Lepisosteus oculatus: one gene and its partner. The protein of the gene in region 2 binds, or shares a complex with, the protein of the main gene of each other region. Links are inferred from orthologs where the notes say so. Each region holds a gene or a part of one and is shown on either strand. Other genes may lie near its edges.

Region 1 (7,702 bases), on a different chromosome or scaffold from region 2:
ACTTTATTACCTGACCTGACAAAAGGATCTGGAAAACACAGAAAAGAATGTAGCTGTGTTGACCTTCTGCTCCAGTGACTTGTGAGTTCATATCAACTCATTGCCAATCAGATTTGACAATAAGGCTTACAGAGACCAGTGGATATAATCCCAAACAATGCAGCTGAGTATCCCCTAATAACTCTATTTCAGTTCCAGTTTACAAACAAATAAATGTTCACGCCCACATCAAAGAAGGTTCAACAATGTAAAAATAGTTTGACAGTCATTTGTAGGGGGCATCATGATATAATAATTTAGTGTATAAGACCTCAATGGCTTTACCTCTGGGTCATCAACAGACTTCCAAAAGCAAGCCTTTGGGGTTCACTTGTCTGTGGTAGGAGGGATATGTTGCACCTGCCCAAGATGCACAGATGTTTGCAAATTTCAGTCTTTTCCCTCCTTAGTGTTTCTATATTACCTCTTTGCCTAACCTTAAAGTAAAAGGAAGCTGGTTTACAATAAAGATACATGTAACATTCCAAAGGGTGTCAACATTCACTAATTAGAGACCAGGAGCAATACCAATTTGACTAATCCCAGGGCTAAAGGGTATGATTTATAAATGCAGGTTCAGAGGAGTGAACCTTCCTGGCCAGGAACAAAGAAAGCTTCAGGGAAATTTGACTGAAGTCTCTAAAATTGTGATGAGGGTCAACACAGTCATTTCCTACTCACAACTTCAAATGAATTTAGGCATAGACCAGATCAGACAACATACCTGGAACTGGATGGAAAATGTGTGGGGACAGATTTATGGTGGAAGCTTTTTTTTACATATGAACAGATGTACTGTATGAACCAGACTCATGCTGATTCATTGCAAGACGTCAAGAATTAGTATGATTAAATGCCAGGTTTAATAAGACTTGAAACATCAGAAAAGGCCTTTGCTCCTAATGGTGAAATGATTTTGACCTTGTACACAAGGTCAGTGCATCTCATGTTAGCAAATGTTGTTTAATTGAGAAGCACAGCTGTGTCTATCCTGTACCGCAAAACCTCACTAATGGAGCAAGCACAGTAGTACAGCTTACAATGCTGATACATCACATGAAATTAAGCAGTAATGTTTTGTTACAAAAATAATATTTTCCTGAAATTTAACATTTACTCATGGGTACAAAATGGGGGGAAATAAGTAACATTTGATATTAGATGGCACTAAAGAAATTTCTGTAAAGTATAGCTGAACATCTTGATGAACATCTCTAATCGTGCAGAGGGAATGGCTGCATGGAATTCGAGGTACTGCCAATGTTATTGTTATTGGAACACGAAGACTGAACACCAACATCGTTCCCCACTCCAGAATAATCTGTGAAAACATTTTTCTCATTTTTTTTCAATAAGCAGATAATTGCTTTCTGTTTTTCCTCAAGTCATGCTTCCAATAATCCTTTAGTAAGCGTACATCTCCTGTTATTCCTTTTGACATGTTGCCCTTGAGTAAATGAACAGGGGCAGATCGGACCAGATGGCATGGAGGATATCAAAATAAACACGAAGAAGTGGGTCAAAAAAAGAACGGACCGCATGCGGAGGCAATTAGATACCATTGAAGGTGAAACCTGATTAAGGAACAGCATATTTTTGAAGTGGGTATATAATATTTCTACGGGAAAAGGCCAAGACGCAGTAGCATGTAGACTTGGCCGTTTTTAATCTACTGGTCAAACTGCTGCAATTAAATCTGTAGTTTATTACTGAATGTAAATGCAAGTTAAAAGGGTTTCAAAGTCCATAGCACACGAAAGTGTACTAGCAATTTAAGGAAAAAATGCTTAAATGCATAACACAGACGTCAGAGTTACATGAAGAATTGCACCCATGTAGAACACATATAACTGGACAAAGAAAGCCAAGCTGAAAAACAGTTGTCAATGCACAGCAATTCGGCTGGGGCTGGTTAGTGGCCTGGCCATGTTACACAAAAGAGAATTTAGAAAAAGAGAGGTGACACTATAAACGCAATAAACCACTGACGCAGACAGGTTCAGACACGTTTGTCAGACAGCTTTATATTCATTTCCTAAGCAAGCATTTTCTCTGTCTCTCTCAAATGTCTGTCTTATCCTTGCACAAATTCAACGAAAAATGGTTATCGTTCTGTGAGATCATGTCAAAAGAATAAAAGATATTCCCTCCAATTTTGCTGTGAAAAACAAAAAGTATGGTACAAATTGTTTGTTGTTGTTTTTAACTATTGTTTCTTGTCCCATGTTTGTGGTCTGTGAAATGTAACATCAAATTTTGTGCGTCTCCATCTAGGGTTGACCAATAATTATTTTCCAAGACTTTGTACGCTTTCTTAAATATATTATTTATGGAATGAAAGATGATATTGTTTTCTCCTCTAAATGGTTACGTTACATACTGTACAGAAATAGCAGTGGGAATATATGGAAAATATTTCATCCCATGTTACTGCAATTTCCTAACACGTTAAATCCCTTTTCTAGTGACAGTTCATGCAGTCATCTGAACCTGAAGTGACAATAAGAAGAAACAAATTTCACCAGACAAAAGCCCCTGGCTATCAGTGTCTCAGACGTCAATGACAATGGAAGTGCTCTCAATTTAAACTCAATTGAATGAATGGATAAATTATGTACAGTAGACAGTGATCTAAGACACTGTATCTTGGTTGCCAATGATTAATCTAGGTAACGTACTCTATAAAATGCCTTTCCATGAAAGCAACTGGATGCGTTTTTTTTTCAGCTCTACTAGAAATTCATACTAGTACATACAGAGATGAATTGCTCAGGGTCGTTTTCCATGTAGTGCATTGTAAGGGAGATTAATTTTAAAAAAGGAAAGCATTTCAGATGCCTTAAATGTTATTAATTTAGTTTATATACCAATTATTTTAATACACAAGGACCATTCTCCAAATAATGATTAGTCTGGGTGGAAATATTCTATTTGTTTTAATGTTTTCTTCTTTTCAGGGTTAAGAGTTGAAACTAACTGCAATAACGATTCTGATCATAATGAATAGATGATGCAAATCTTGATTTGAACACCAAGTTTCTTAATTTTTTTATTATTTTACTGCTTCTGTGGTTATGGAAAAAACGTATTTCAAGCTCTGCTAAATTCTTCTATTAATCAGCTATATTTAATCTCCACTACTCTACTGATTAAAAATTCAATTTTCATACCCTCAGTTCAATTACACTTGTAATACAAACAATGTCCACAAGAGGGATACGTATAGCATACTTGAATGGAATTCATTGAAATATGGTTCAAATAATGCTAATACTGCTCAAGATTTGAGCTTTAAAATATAAAGAAATGAAAAGAAAACGATGTCTCATTTCTGTGCCTGAACATATTTCTGAGCATTTCTAAAGCATAAGGGTAGATAACTTGTATACCACTGAGTAATTATTTTTTTATTTGCATTTCACTTCAGTATTACATTATTAATTTAAGTATAATCCTTACAATCCCATAGACATACGCGTAATTATCTTCTGATCTGAGTATATTTTTTTCACGAAAAAAGCTTTGATAGTTCAGCTCATGATGGGATTCTGCCCATCTGAAGCACAATGATAATTGTCCTTCAATTATCCTGTTCTGCAAAGAAGGCTTTGAAATCTGAACACTACAATATCCTCCTTACGAGCAGCCCCTTCAATTGATCACCCTATTCACTTTTCCTCAGGCGCTGAGGCAATTACATGGAAAAGCAATAATTCACCGGTTAAACTTAAAAAAAAACAATAAAATTCAGTGTTGTGAATTCACAAATCCAAGTGTAGATTACATTTAGTGTGATAGATAGGTATGCAATCGAATGGTTTGGGCCATTGGTTTTCCTATTTAGGTCAAGGTCCAGAGTTCTTATGACCCTTAAGACAGGTTCATTAGTAAGCAGCCTGGATAATAAAGGATATGATACATTTTTAATTTGCCTGGGTGTTAGTGTAGAAACAACTACAACAACACATACCTTCAATACATACAGTAGATACGGGAGCTAATTGTATCCGTTTCCCTACCTTCCTACGTACCTCAATCACTCTACACTAGAATCTCGAAAGCGAATTAATTACTTTTCACGCCTTGTTATAACAGTCCATAGGCATCCCGTTTGCACAATTTTGTGAACAAGGGACTGAATGCTATCAAGTGCAGACAAGCTGCCCAGGGTTGTTTTCAGTGAAAGAAAATGTTTTGGGCTGCTGGGATTAGCTAAATCATACGAGAGTCGCGACTTGGCTTTTTAACAAGAATATAAAAGCAATCCACATATTAAAAAGGGAAGGAAAATCTATTCCTGAATCAATTAGAAACATACTATTAAAACGCGATAAAGACACTGGTTCTTTAGGTTATTCAATACGCTTCCATTTAAACATTAACAAACGCGGTCTCAGCGGAAATTCCTGGTTTCCCCAGACTGACAGTCCTTTTTACGGCGATGCTTAAGTTAACTGGTATTTTAGCCATTCGGATACTGCTTGCGCACAAGCACTAAAACTGCAGTTCGCTGTTGACAGCCAGCTCTAACCCGCTGCTAATACCACCAGCCAGCAAACCGCTCGCTCTATGCCCAATCTTGCAGGTTGAAGCTGTGGCCCCGATTTCCTGTCACATGATTAGAAATAGGATCCCTGCTTTCTACTATCTCTTGTCTGTGTGGTTCGGATCTGCCTTGTAGCTGGGGGATCAGACGCGGTCCGGGCTGGCTTTAACTTAAACCATTCGCGACTTGACTTTTCAGATCGGAGACGTGCTGTGTCCGAAACAAGTCACCTGCGACTCTTCCTTTCTCAGACTCCACGAAAGAGCACCTCGTCTGTCCTCTCTTCTCAAGTTGAGCGATGGGATCGTTGACAGTTGCAATCCTTTTGGCTGGATTTCTCCCAACTTCTGCTCAGTTTGAAACGGGTAAGTTTGTAACTTCTTTCCGGACGCTAGCTACCGGGGAGTTTTATTAGCGTGAACGGTCAATTTAATCCTCCGGACTGCAGAGTTAAAATTAAACAAAACAAACTTTTTCAAGCATGCATTATCGTCTTCCTGTTAATTTGTAAATGACAACTGACGTTATTTTGTAACACAATTGTAGCTGAGTGGCGAGAAGTGTCAACATTTATCACGCCTTGGTCTAGTATTGTCATATCAAAGCGACGAGTGACTGATGGTCATTTTATTAATATTGAACTTCTACCGCGACCCTCGCTAAGACTGGCAGACTGAAAATGGATTGAGGGGTTGAAACGCGATTAATGTATGCTTAAAGCTAAAATATGCTTGGGTCTTCATTTTCACGTTGAATTAATGCGTCAAATTTTTAATTTTGCTTCTCTTTTGGCGATGGAAATGTTGTCAAAAGGGGTGACAGAAGCACTTCAAAATGTACTTGTACATCTGATGTGCAGTTCACACACCAACTGAGGCAACTGCAGATGTAAAACACGATACTTTTGTATACTATCTTAAGTGTATACTGTATACTGATCTGAAAATGCTGCTCTTCCATAGTACTGTACAGAGACAAGAGAGGCAGATGTTCTGTAATGATAATTTTCTAAATACTGCAACACTGTTTATTTGGCCTTAAAATTGGAAGGGAGGTGTGTTGGTTTTCATTCCAGGACTACTCCATGTGGTATTCTACAGCAATATTAAAAACACTTTTTTAATCACGATTTATAATGTCCAGTCCGCCTTTATTTCCAAATACATTATATTACGATAATAATTAGATGAATGTCATGCGTATGCCAAATAAAATCAGATGTCATCGGAATTTGTACTTGAGTAATTTTAAGAACAAGACACTAGCTAAGTACAGCCCTACTGTAAATTATTGACACCAGACAGGGAAATGAACAAAATTAGTACGTATTCAAACCTTTGATGAGAAACCAGTCGTTCCACACGAACTGACATACGAGAAGTCATCTTCAGTAAACCTATTGTTGAGACGCAAGACACAGAAAGCTCTGCAGGATATAGCCTTTCCAAATTGCACATATGGAAATGAATTTCTTTTTAAAATGAAGCTTATTTAGAGAAGAAAGAAATTGTTCATTTAAATATTTAATAACGACCACATAAACCAAACTTCTCTTGCTGTAATTTGTGTTGTGTTTCATGTTTAAAAAGCAAATCCTCATGCTATGCTTTTTAATTTTTTGTTTCTTAATTATAGCCTTTGATTCAAATTAGAGGTTTCACCATCTGGGCACTGCCTAACTGCTGCCATCTGTACCTATGTATTAACAATGTATTTAAAGCTACGGCATTCTGTTTTTTTAATGTTGGGGGGGGAAATCTTAAGCTTCTACAAATTTAGAATGAAACGGTTGTGTTTGTTATTGTCTATTTTCACGTGAATATTTATTTTTATTAAAATTGTTTGTTGCATAATAGAATTGCAGGGAAGCAAGTCATGTTCCTGTTTTGCTTTAGAGCAGAATATTCAAATTTTCTGCAGTACATACAGTAACACAAACTCACATTGATGACTGTATGTGGATGTTTTAAGTTAGGAAAGAGATACGGTTTCTCACATGGGCCAACATGCAACACAAAGTAAGAAATCTATAGTGTGAAGTGGTATCCAGTTCAGTTCTGACTGAAATTGTGTTTTGCAGTTTTTAAAAGCCTATTGTAAAGTAACGCAAGTGTGCAATAAGTCCACCACATTTTTGTAAGATTTTGCTATTATTTGCTATTAAATTCACGTTCTGTGCTGCCTTTTCTGCTTAAAAATGTGCTGGCAAGTAACTGCATTTGACATCTGAAGCATTACTCTTCCTAACAATTGAAAATTCCATTACTATTCAGCCATTCATAAATGTGCAGTTAAGTTACTTTTTACTGTTTACTGTTTGTATCTAGTAGTTAGAATTAGATTACTAATAAAAAGTGATTCTTTTTTATTGGATTTAGCTTCTCTGCCACATTGATGAAGGCATCCTGTGTTTGGAGAAATGGTTGAATTGAGACTGTCAGATCAATAAAGCCACTAACAACCAAACAAGCTAGATATGCCAAATGACTTCCTTTTGTCTCTTAGCATTTATTGCGCTCTAAATATTACTTAGTTGAATGTAATCATTAAATTGCTGGTGCGGGACATAATCTAATATGAATTCCTTTTTTGTATTTTAAAGGCACTTGTAATTGGTAGGTGGATATGAAATTAATTATGTCAACAAGTCTCTTGTAAGATTTGGTGGAACTTGGCAGGGAATTATAATGCCATTTATTTTATTAGTTCTACTGCTCCTTGGTGCTAATATGTTCTTATGTTGTCTATGCTGCAGCAGCCAAGAATTTGGATTTGCCTCCAGATGAAAAATTATAATTGAATCTTTTATTAACCTAAAGGCAAATTAATCACCTAAGTCCTTAAATTCAGGAAATTTAATTTTTTAATTCATTATAACAAATCATTTCTAGTTAATGACTGATCAGGCTGCAACCATGATAAGGGGAGATAAAGCATAGCAATTAAGAGAAATCATGTATTCAGTTAAAGTCTTACTGTACATGTCATGTCTGTTTGTCCAGTGGCCAGGGTGTGCAATAAATGACTGAATAAAAAGATAAGCTACCGAATGGTAGCATGTTTTTGTTATTGTTCCATGAGAACAATTTGCTTTGGAACCCAGTTCTAGGACTGTCC
Region 2 (7,904 bases):
GTCTTCAAAGTAATCTCACATGTTTTCTGTGGCCACTTTATTTCTTGAGTGGGAAATTTTTATTTTGTGCCAACAGAACAGCCTTTGACTCCAAAATTCAGGATCATGAGCTCTGTTGAAGAAATCTGAGATTTTAATGCAATGTTCCCATATGTTGAACCATATGGTTTCTCAAGGGTAGATGGAATGATATTTCAGGAAACATGAAATTTGCAAGTGGGACTCTCACCTGAGATGTTTTAGACTTCTACAAATAGCCTAAATGGCCATACTGTATGGTGTTCACTGAGGTGCCATGTTTAATTGGTTGTACATCAGGAACATGTAAAATGGGGTAAAGTCTTGTTAATCACAACTAATTTTAGTTTTAATCAGAATAAAAGCTTTTTGTTAAATGAAGTCTCATGATAGTATTTCACTGTAACCAGCTTGCACGCCCATTTTGTATATAATGTAATCATAAGCAAGTATCAGTGTATAGTATTATCTCCATTATATCCACCACAGCTCAATGGTATAGAGTGTATCTTGTTGAAATGTATTTTAATGTTTTTTTTTTCCAAAATGCACACAGCTCACTGGAATGTATTTATATCTTAGTTTGTAAATTTGATATTGTAAATGTTGATGTCAAAACCTTTGGATTCAGACATTCAACTTTGTAACTAAAGCACAAAGATCCATTCAAAAAGTTATAAATACTGGTGTTTAACTAGGTTTTTGCTTCTCGTGTGACATAAGTGCATGAACGGATAAGCCAATTTTGATTATGTTTTAATGAAACACTTTTTTAAAATGTTTTAAATATCTTTACATTTTATTTAAAATAAAAATAAAGGCATTTATATTCATATTCTAAATAGCAATATTACATTGTTTACAAATTTACAATATAGTAGAATGTTTAGGATAACCATGCAGCACCTTTTTTCTTAAAATACTTGTTGACATAAAAATAATTACAGCGTAAGTGCCACTCCGAATATTTACAATACAGTAATTTACTGCAATTATTGTGAAGCTGAAGTTCCGTAAAAGAGAAACGATCAATGCTACTCTGCTATTTTGGGAGAGATAAAAAGAAAACAGAGTATTAAATGTAAACTCTTCCTTTAGCACTTTGAAACACTTTGACCAAAGAATCAGTCCTTAGAATAGGTAAAAATAGATCGTCCGATATCCGCTGCGAGACTGATCAGTGTCTCTGACAGGTGTGAAGTCTGGATGCTTTGCTGCTGTGATCACCCTGCTGGGTTCTACAGGCCAGGCCATCTGCACAGTCGCAGCGCTGAAATATCTCTAAACCATGGGTTCCTTTTCTTCGGTGCTTGGTGCAAACTTGTCCTTCTTTTAGCACAGGCTTGCAGATCTTGGACCAGAAGTGACGAGCGCAGCACAGCCCTTCTGCGCAGTCTGAAGACCTCAGACACACTTCGCCTTCCTGACCTGAAAAGGCAAAGTTAAATGTTAAGCTCTTCGGGGCCGTATGTTTGTGCTTTGCGCAGTTACAAAACATGCTTGCTTCCACATTTCCTTGCATAGAGGTCTACGGTTCAGTCTTGCTTTCGTGAGTGTAGTTGTTACCCATACCTTTAAGCGACTGAGGTCCTGTGGGTACGATGGTTCGTCTAGGATGAGGTTCCACCGTGAACTGATCTTCATCAACAAGACGGTCGGGGATGGTGTCATCGACCACAGCGTGGTAAGTAGTGTCGGGATCATTAGGCAAACACAGTCCTGAAGGAGAAACACGGGTTAAATACACAAAATTAAAATTAAGGTACAGTTTGATGGTAAAATGCCCGTTGGAAACTCTAAAAGCCCCTCGTTTCTCCCCCCCGAGAAAGTTTGTTGAGCTGCACCATAAAACTGGGAATCAAGACGTTTTAAGAGACTATGGTATGCCAGCGTTTCGAAGAATCTTGCCCTAATTGTTCCAGTGTGTTAAAATTTGAGCTCACCATTACTGCAGTGGTTGCCAGGACAGCACATAGCGTCCCGGACGCAGCGCTTCCTGCGTTTCTTGCAGGAGAGACAGACGCCTCGGGATCCGAGGCAGTATTCATCAACGGCACATTCCTCATCATCCAAGCAGCTGTAACTCTTAAGAAGAGAAAAAAAAAAGTATTGGTAAGGTAATGGTCCTTATGTATAGGTGCATGTTTTGGAAAGTAAAAAAGCTACTGTTCCGTTATACATCTGCAAAAAATAGCAAGTTGCTAAGTTGAATGAAATGCGATACTCCTGTTACTGTTAAGCCTGTGTCATGCTTCACATTTTGTGGAGCTAGTTATAAATAGGGACCCCCATCTCCCAACTACTTCAACAGTAACTGCAGAGGTGCTTACCTGAAAGGTGTCCGCGCCAATATTCTTGTTGCCGCTGTCGTACATAAGGATGTCCGGGCTTGCACTGACCGGGTAGCTGGGATTCGGCGCACCGCCGGAAAGGTTTTTGATAGCATTGGAGTTGAACAGACCGGACCCCGCGTTAACAGCATGCGAATAGCCGTACAGCCCGAAACATGCAGTTAAAAGCACTGGTATTGTAGCCAAATGCATATTTAAACTGTGAAATTACAATCGGGAGGAAGAGGCACACTCCTTGGTCACCCTTGGCGATCTAACTGCAGTATAGTCCTCTGTAAGCGTTCAGGTCGAGTAGACGGTGCAGTTCTTTCCCGTTTTTTTCTGAAGATTCACTCGTTCTGTTGCTGGATTTATACATGTGGGGTTGTTTGCATTCCCGCCCCTAGCTATGTATAACAAAGGCAGGGATGAAATTTCAAAGAGATTGGACTCCTGGCGCTTCCCACAGAAACTAACCTATTGGAAGGGAATTCTCTTCCTGGGATTTCACAATGATGTTTGTATATAATTATCAATGATTTTCCTTGAGATTACATCAATCACGCACCGACACATCTTCTGATACACTGGAAGCAGCGCCCATACTTCGCTTCGGATTTAAGGGATATAATTAAACCCATTGTTAATGTAAGAGAACCTCCTAAAAGGCTTATGGCATTTGCTTTTTCTATTTTATGTCAACATTAACTACAGTTACTGTATTTTTCTTTCCCCTCACACACCCAGACTGTTTATCTGTACCACTGTTTAAACGTGATTTGACGAAGTTTAATCCCACTCCTTCTGCGCATGACAGCTGAACTTGAGTATCCTGTTGAAATGTTACATCACTTATTTTATTAGTCTGTATTAACAAAAGGTACAGAATCATGTTTTCTCATTAAACGAGACGTTAGAACAGGGTCATTCTTCCAATTTTACATCCGTCCGCTTTCCGAACCGAAATTAAATAATAATAATAATAAGAATAATAATAATAATAATAATAATATGAATAATAATAATATGAATAATAATAATAACGAGGAACTGTCAAGAACCAAGAACCGGTCAAGTAAATTAAGTAACCCAGACAGTCCTTAAAGTTTTGTAATGGGAGGTTATTCAAGTCATTTTCGGTCCATTAGCAGCATTTGATCCGTTATTGTAATGAGAAAACTTTGAAATGCACTTGATTCAACAATCGGCGAAGATCAAAGGCTGATATGCAAATCACTGGGAGTGAAAAGTTTACCGAATTAATTATCATCTAGCCTAAGTGCTCTAAAACAAATATGGCTTGATTAGCACTCCACGATAAGGAACTGGCATCGGCCTCTCTGAACTTCAGTTCAGGGCTCGATCCAGAAAACATGAAAAGGCGCAGATATTCAACTTGAAAGGAATTTTTCTCATCAACCACAACTTCATACCCGTCGGTATTAACCTTGACATGGATCGACATCTGCTATTTATGGTGTTGATCACTGTAAAATGTAATTACAATGACATTCTCATTCCCTCGCTGATGTGACTATTAATTGCACACAAACAGGATAGCCTGCTGCATATTTGTATAACCGGGAAACCTATCATTGAATGAAGTTTTAAAAACTATTGGGACTAATTTATTACTTGCAACTTGAAAAGACATCAAATACAAATGTCCTGTTTACAAGTAGTAGAACAACGTGTGGCTGTCCGTTATGCGCACATAACTTTCTTGTTAAAAATGTTTATTGCTACATAAACTGCTTGAAGTAGTGACTATCGTGTTTTATTTATAATAAAGTTGATATCGATATCCCTTTTCCATCTAATACAATTGAAGATTTTTGTAAATGCTATCTTAAGGTTTTCGCCCGAAGACAAAGAGGACAAAAACATGCGCTGGCGGCATAATAAGAATAATAGTAAGAAGACTGCACAGACAGAAAAAAAGGGCATGGGCTTTTAAGTGTGTTCCTACAGTTTTAGGGATACAAAGCAGAGCTTGACGCGCTTCTTGCTCAAAGCGTTATATCCCGGCACATAATAATAGAGGATAGTCTCAGAAGTGTGTGCGCAAACCCATAACAAATTATAAATACTATGTCGCGGAGAAGCTATTAAAATGTCTTTTTGTTTTCTTAAAGTTACGGTCAGAAAAGGCGCTCAGAAAGTTGAATAGGAGTACCACTTAAGCCTCTGACGGTTTATGCTGCCAATATACATATACATATTTAAAAGCAGTTGCTACCAAGAGTTCTCCACACATTTTATGTTGCCATTTTTTCTTACCTTCAAGAAATCCTAGGATAATTTCTTTTGTAAAGGTTCACACAATAAATAAACGTTTCCAGTCCAACTATGCGTCGCATCTGTAGCCATTAGTGTGTACTTTTAACCATATAGTGTATATATACATACAGGAGGCCCTCCTCGAGTTAAAACACAATACAAAATAAGAGTTTTATTAAGTTAAAAACGAGAATGTGAAAGATGAGGTAGAAGCCTAACTACTGTTGTATCTGGCTAAAAACTGGAAAAAATAGGTTATTACCGAGTTATTCAATGGAAGAATGGATGATTAATCTGAAGATATGTGAGTTTTGCGCGTTTGTCATACTGTCAAATATATATGCTCAAAAAGTCAGTAATAGCCCTTAGCTCTTTCAGTTCCTGTCTAGTTAACACATCGAAAGGTGCGTGATTTACTTATCCGTGTAAATATTTTTAACGTAACTGATTGTTACTTGGATATGAACTTGCGTTTTAAATAACAGCTTTGTGGTGTCCGTATATCTCTCCTCGTGATTAAAAAGGACACGTACTGGACTAGTTCCATTGGCCAAATGTTTGTAACCACAAAACCGCGCTAACGATTTAACAGTTTCTAAGAGAATGTCTGCCTGATACTTTGGATAACCTCTTAAATAAAAAGGCTTTGTGATGCTGTTGACAGAGGTTGGTTATAATAGGCAACTACAAGACAAATGCTCAATACACTTCATTAAACGTGAATTGGCAGCATTCACCCGAATTCTTTGGTCTTTGGCTTTGTTTTAACAGTACATCCAAGCCTACAGTAGTGTAAAATGTAGCTTGTGTTAAGGAGCCTTTGATGAAGAGGAGATCAAACAGAACTAGAACCCCATGTCTTAATCAGACTTTAGCAGGCACGGCATCTTCACAAACAGTCCGTTTACTCGGCTTTTAGCAGGTTTTCACAGACATTGTGCTCAGCAAATTCGTCTGGTTGGACGCCAGGTAATCTTGTTTTCAAATGCCTTCTTGCCGCCTAATCCATTCATACTACAATAGGCTTTACTAGTTAGCCACGTCAAAAGAGTGGTAAATAAATTCATAATAATTTAGTATTAACTGAAACAAGCAGAACATATTAAATATCACAGAAAAACTAAGATACCACACTGCACATAAAAATACGATTTTGGCCCATCTAGTGGACTGAACTCTAGTAAATATTAATGTTTTGATAGCTCCGCTCATTTAATTTTTCTTGAAAATAGTAAATCATATCTGATAGAACTGCTGTTTCCATTATACCGAGACTTCAATTGGTGGTAACACTTTTCTAAACGTGTACTACTGATTTAAATTCTAGTTCTGTCGTTTTAGTACCAATTGTTAACTGAATTCTGATATGTTTAATCCATCCGAATACAAGTTGCGTTGTTAATTGACGGAAATACACCTCTACGTTTCAGACTCTTCGACTGGGGGTGGAGGTTTCTGACGTGGTACGTCCCATATCCAGCACAAACTTGTTTCTGTAATGATATATCGATATACGGCTGTCTCTACAGTTTCGTTGAGACCAAAGGATGGAGATAAGCGTTAAATATCGGTACAACTACGGCTTCATTTCTGATGGCACTGCAAAAACAAAGCTCCATACCTATAAGTTCCGAAGACGGCAGCTAATGAGTGATGCTCTTAACCCCATCAGCTGTGATAGAACAGGAAACGTGTCAGTCGTTTAAAAAATTAGCTGGGATGAGTGAAAAGTGCACTGATAAAAGGACAACGGCAACAATTAACAAAATAAAGAATGTACTCCTAGAAAGGAAAGATGTGGACGAGTCAGTATGATTAGCTTTTTTGAATGGGCTGTAAATTGAGATATAAGCATAAAATGGATATTTGCATTATGTTTCTCAAAAAAGGAGACAAAGCTGCTACTGAAGGGCATGTTGATTTTAGTGCCCTGATGTAAGGGGTTAAAAACTTTGAGCAGCCACCCTTCATAATTCAGCCGTGATGTGCCTTATATGAAATACACAGAGTGAAGAAAGCTGCCATGACACAATGCAATGGATTTCATCTCAACTCCATCATAGGTTTTGGATATGTGCTTATTTGGAAGAACACAAAAGACAGAGGAGCCAAGGGTGTGGGCTACGCTGAGTAAAAGCTTCCCCTTGTTCACAGAAACAGCAGAACGTAAGAAGATACATACTGTATCTACTGTAAAGCTTTACCTTTAAACTTGAATCAGCACCACACCTAAAATGTATATAGCTTTCCTACAAGGCATCACACTGACAGCTACAACCTGGTAGCCTGCAGATTGAATTGCTCTTGTTTGATCCCAGAACAGTAGTAGCAAGGGAATAATGGCCATCATGCACTCTCCTCCTGACTAGCTGATCGATTTCCCTTGGCCTTGCCCTTCAGAGCCTCCAGAGCCTTCTCTGTGAAGACAGGAGAGAGTTTTCTGGGGCTGTGGTACTCTGAACTCCGAATGCTGAAGACAAAAAAATGACATTTTTAATGGTGGACCAGAGGGTGAAAACTGTCTGAGGAGTCTAATTCTCAAAGAATTACAGTTTTTTAAACAGTGAAACATTTCAGCATCACTGATAACGTGAAAACAATAAATGCAGTCAAGAAGTGTCCAAAAGTAACTTGTCTTTATTTTAGCTTCATAAAGTTATACAACAGGCACTCTGCAATTAAAGTTGCAGTGAGAATACAGAATAAGATGAAAGCAGCTCAATAAAGAAATGTTTTAGGCAACACTGAATGCAACTGATAATTACTTCATGAGTTTTGTTGTGGATAAAAAAAACAAAGTTCCCCATTTAACTATTACAGCGAGCAAAATAGCCTGAAACAGGTTAACACACTAACATATAGCAAGTAGCTATTGTACACTGGACAAATAACTTCTCTAATCAAAATCATATATTGAAACGTTTTTCTTTTTCATGGTTCCAGCAACATGACTACATTATTGCAATGGACAATGGAAAAGAATAAAACTGTTATCACTGTTATTCTTATACATATCACAAATGAGTTGCATATACAAGAAAGCTACTTAAAGCAATATTCCTATTATGCTGTGCAGTGCCGAGACTGAGCTGCTCTACAATTCATGCCTTCTTTTGACAATAGCCCCTCAAGAAAAATAGTTGGGGATTGCATGTATTTGATTTTTCTGCCTTGGCCTAAATATCCATTGCCATCTTTCATTGATAGAACTGTTCTTAGATTTTAGGTATTAATTTTTTTAACTTATTGTGACAGGCTTCAATAATTGCACACAGA

The links. Proteins that work in one complex are often made in the same cells at the same time.
Region 1: the proteins of dkk1b (region 2) and kremen1 are in contact, whole or in part, in a crystal structure (PDB 5FWW), measured with the Homo sapiens proteins. The link is inferred for Lepisosteus oculatus from reciprocal best matches to the Homo sapiens genes DKK1 and KREMEN1. Residues at the interface, in NP_036374.1 of Homo sapiens: Cys189, Leu190, Arg191, Ser192, Ser193, Cys201, Arg203, Trp206, Ser207, Lys208, Lys222, His223, Arg224, Arg225, Lys226, Gly227, His229, Gly230, Leu231, His261; in XP_011528731.1 of Homo sapiens: Pro67, Asn88, Asp90, Asp92, Ser94, Trp96, Gly105, Val106, Tyr107, Trp108, Tyr110, Asp127, His128, Gly129, Pro132, Thr140, Asn142, Glu164, Ser165, Tyr167, Ala168, Phe170, Asn189, Val191, Phe193, His196, Asp203, Gly204.

Annotation. Positions count from the first base shown.
Region 1 is NC_090717.1:3,974,898-3,982,599, forward strand, and holds the start of kremen1 (kremen protein 1), read left to right. Parts: upstream 1-4,545; 5' UTR 4,546-4,883; coding exon 4,884-4,950; intron 4,951-7,702. UniProt on the Homo sapiens protein: Receptor for Dickkopf proteins. Cooperates with DKK1/2 to inhibit Wnt/beta-catenin signaling by promoting the endocytosis of Wnt receptors LRP5 and LRP6.
Region 2 is NC_090699.1:21,996,908-22,004,811, reverse strand, and holds dkk1b (dickkopf-related protein 1b), read right to left. Parts: upstream 3,175-7,904; 5' UTR 2,562-3,174; coding exon 2,349-2,561; intron 2,104-2,348; coding exon 1,962-2,103; intron 1,738-1,961; coding exon 1,591-1,737; intron 1,447-1,590; coding exon 1,196-1,446; 3' UTR 849-1,195; downstream 1-848. UniProt on the Homo sapiens protein: Antagonizes canonical Wnt signaling by inhibiting LRP5/6 interaction with Wnt and by forming a ternary complex with the transmembrane protein KREMEN that promotes internalization of LRP5/6.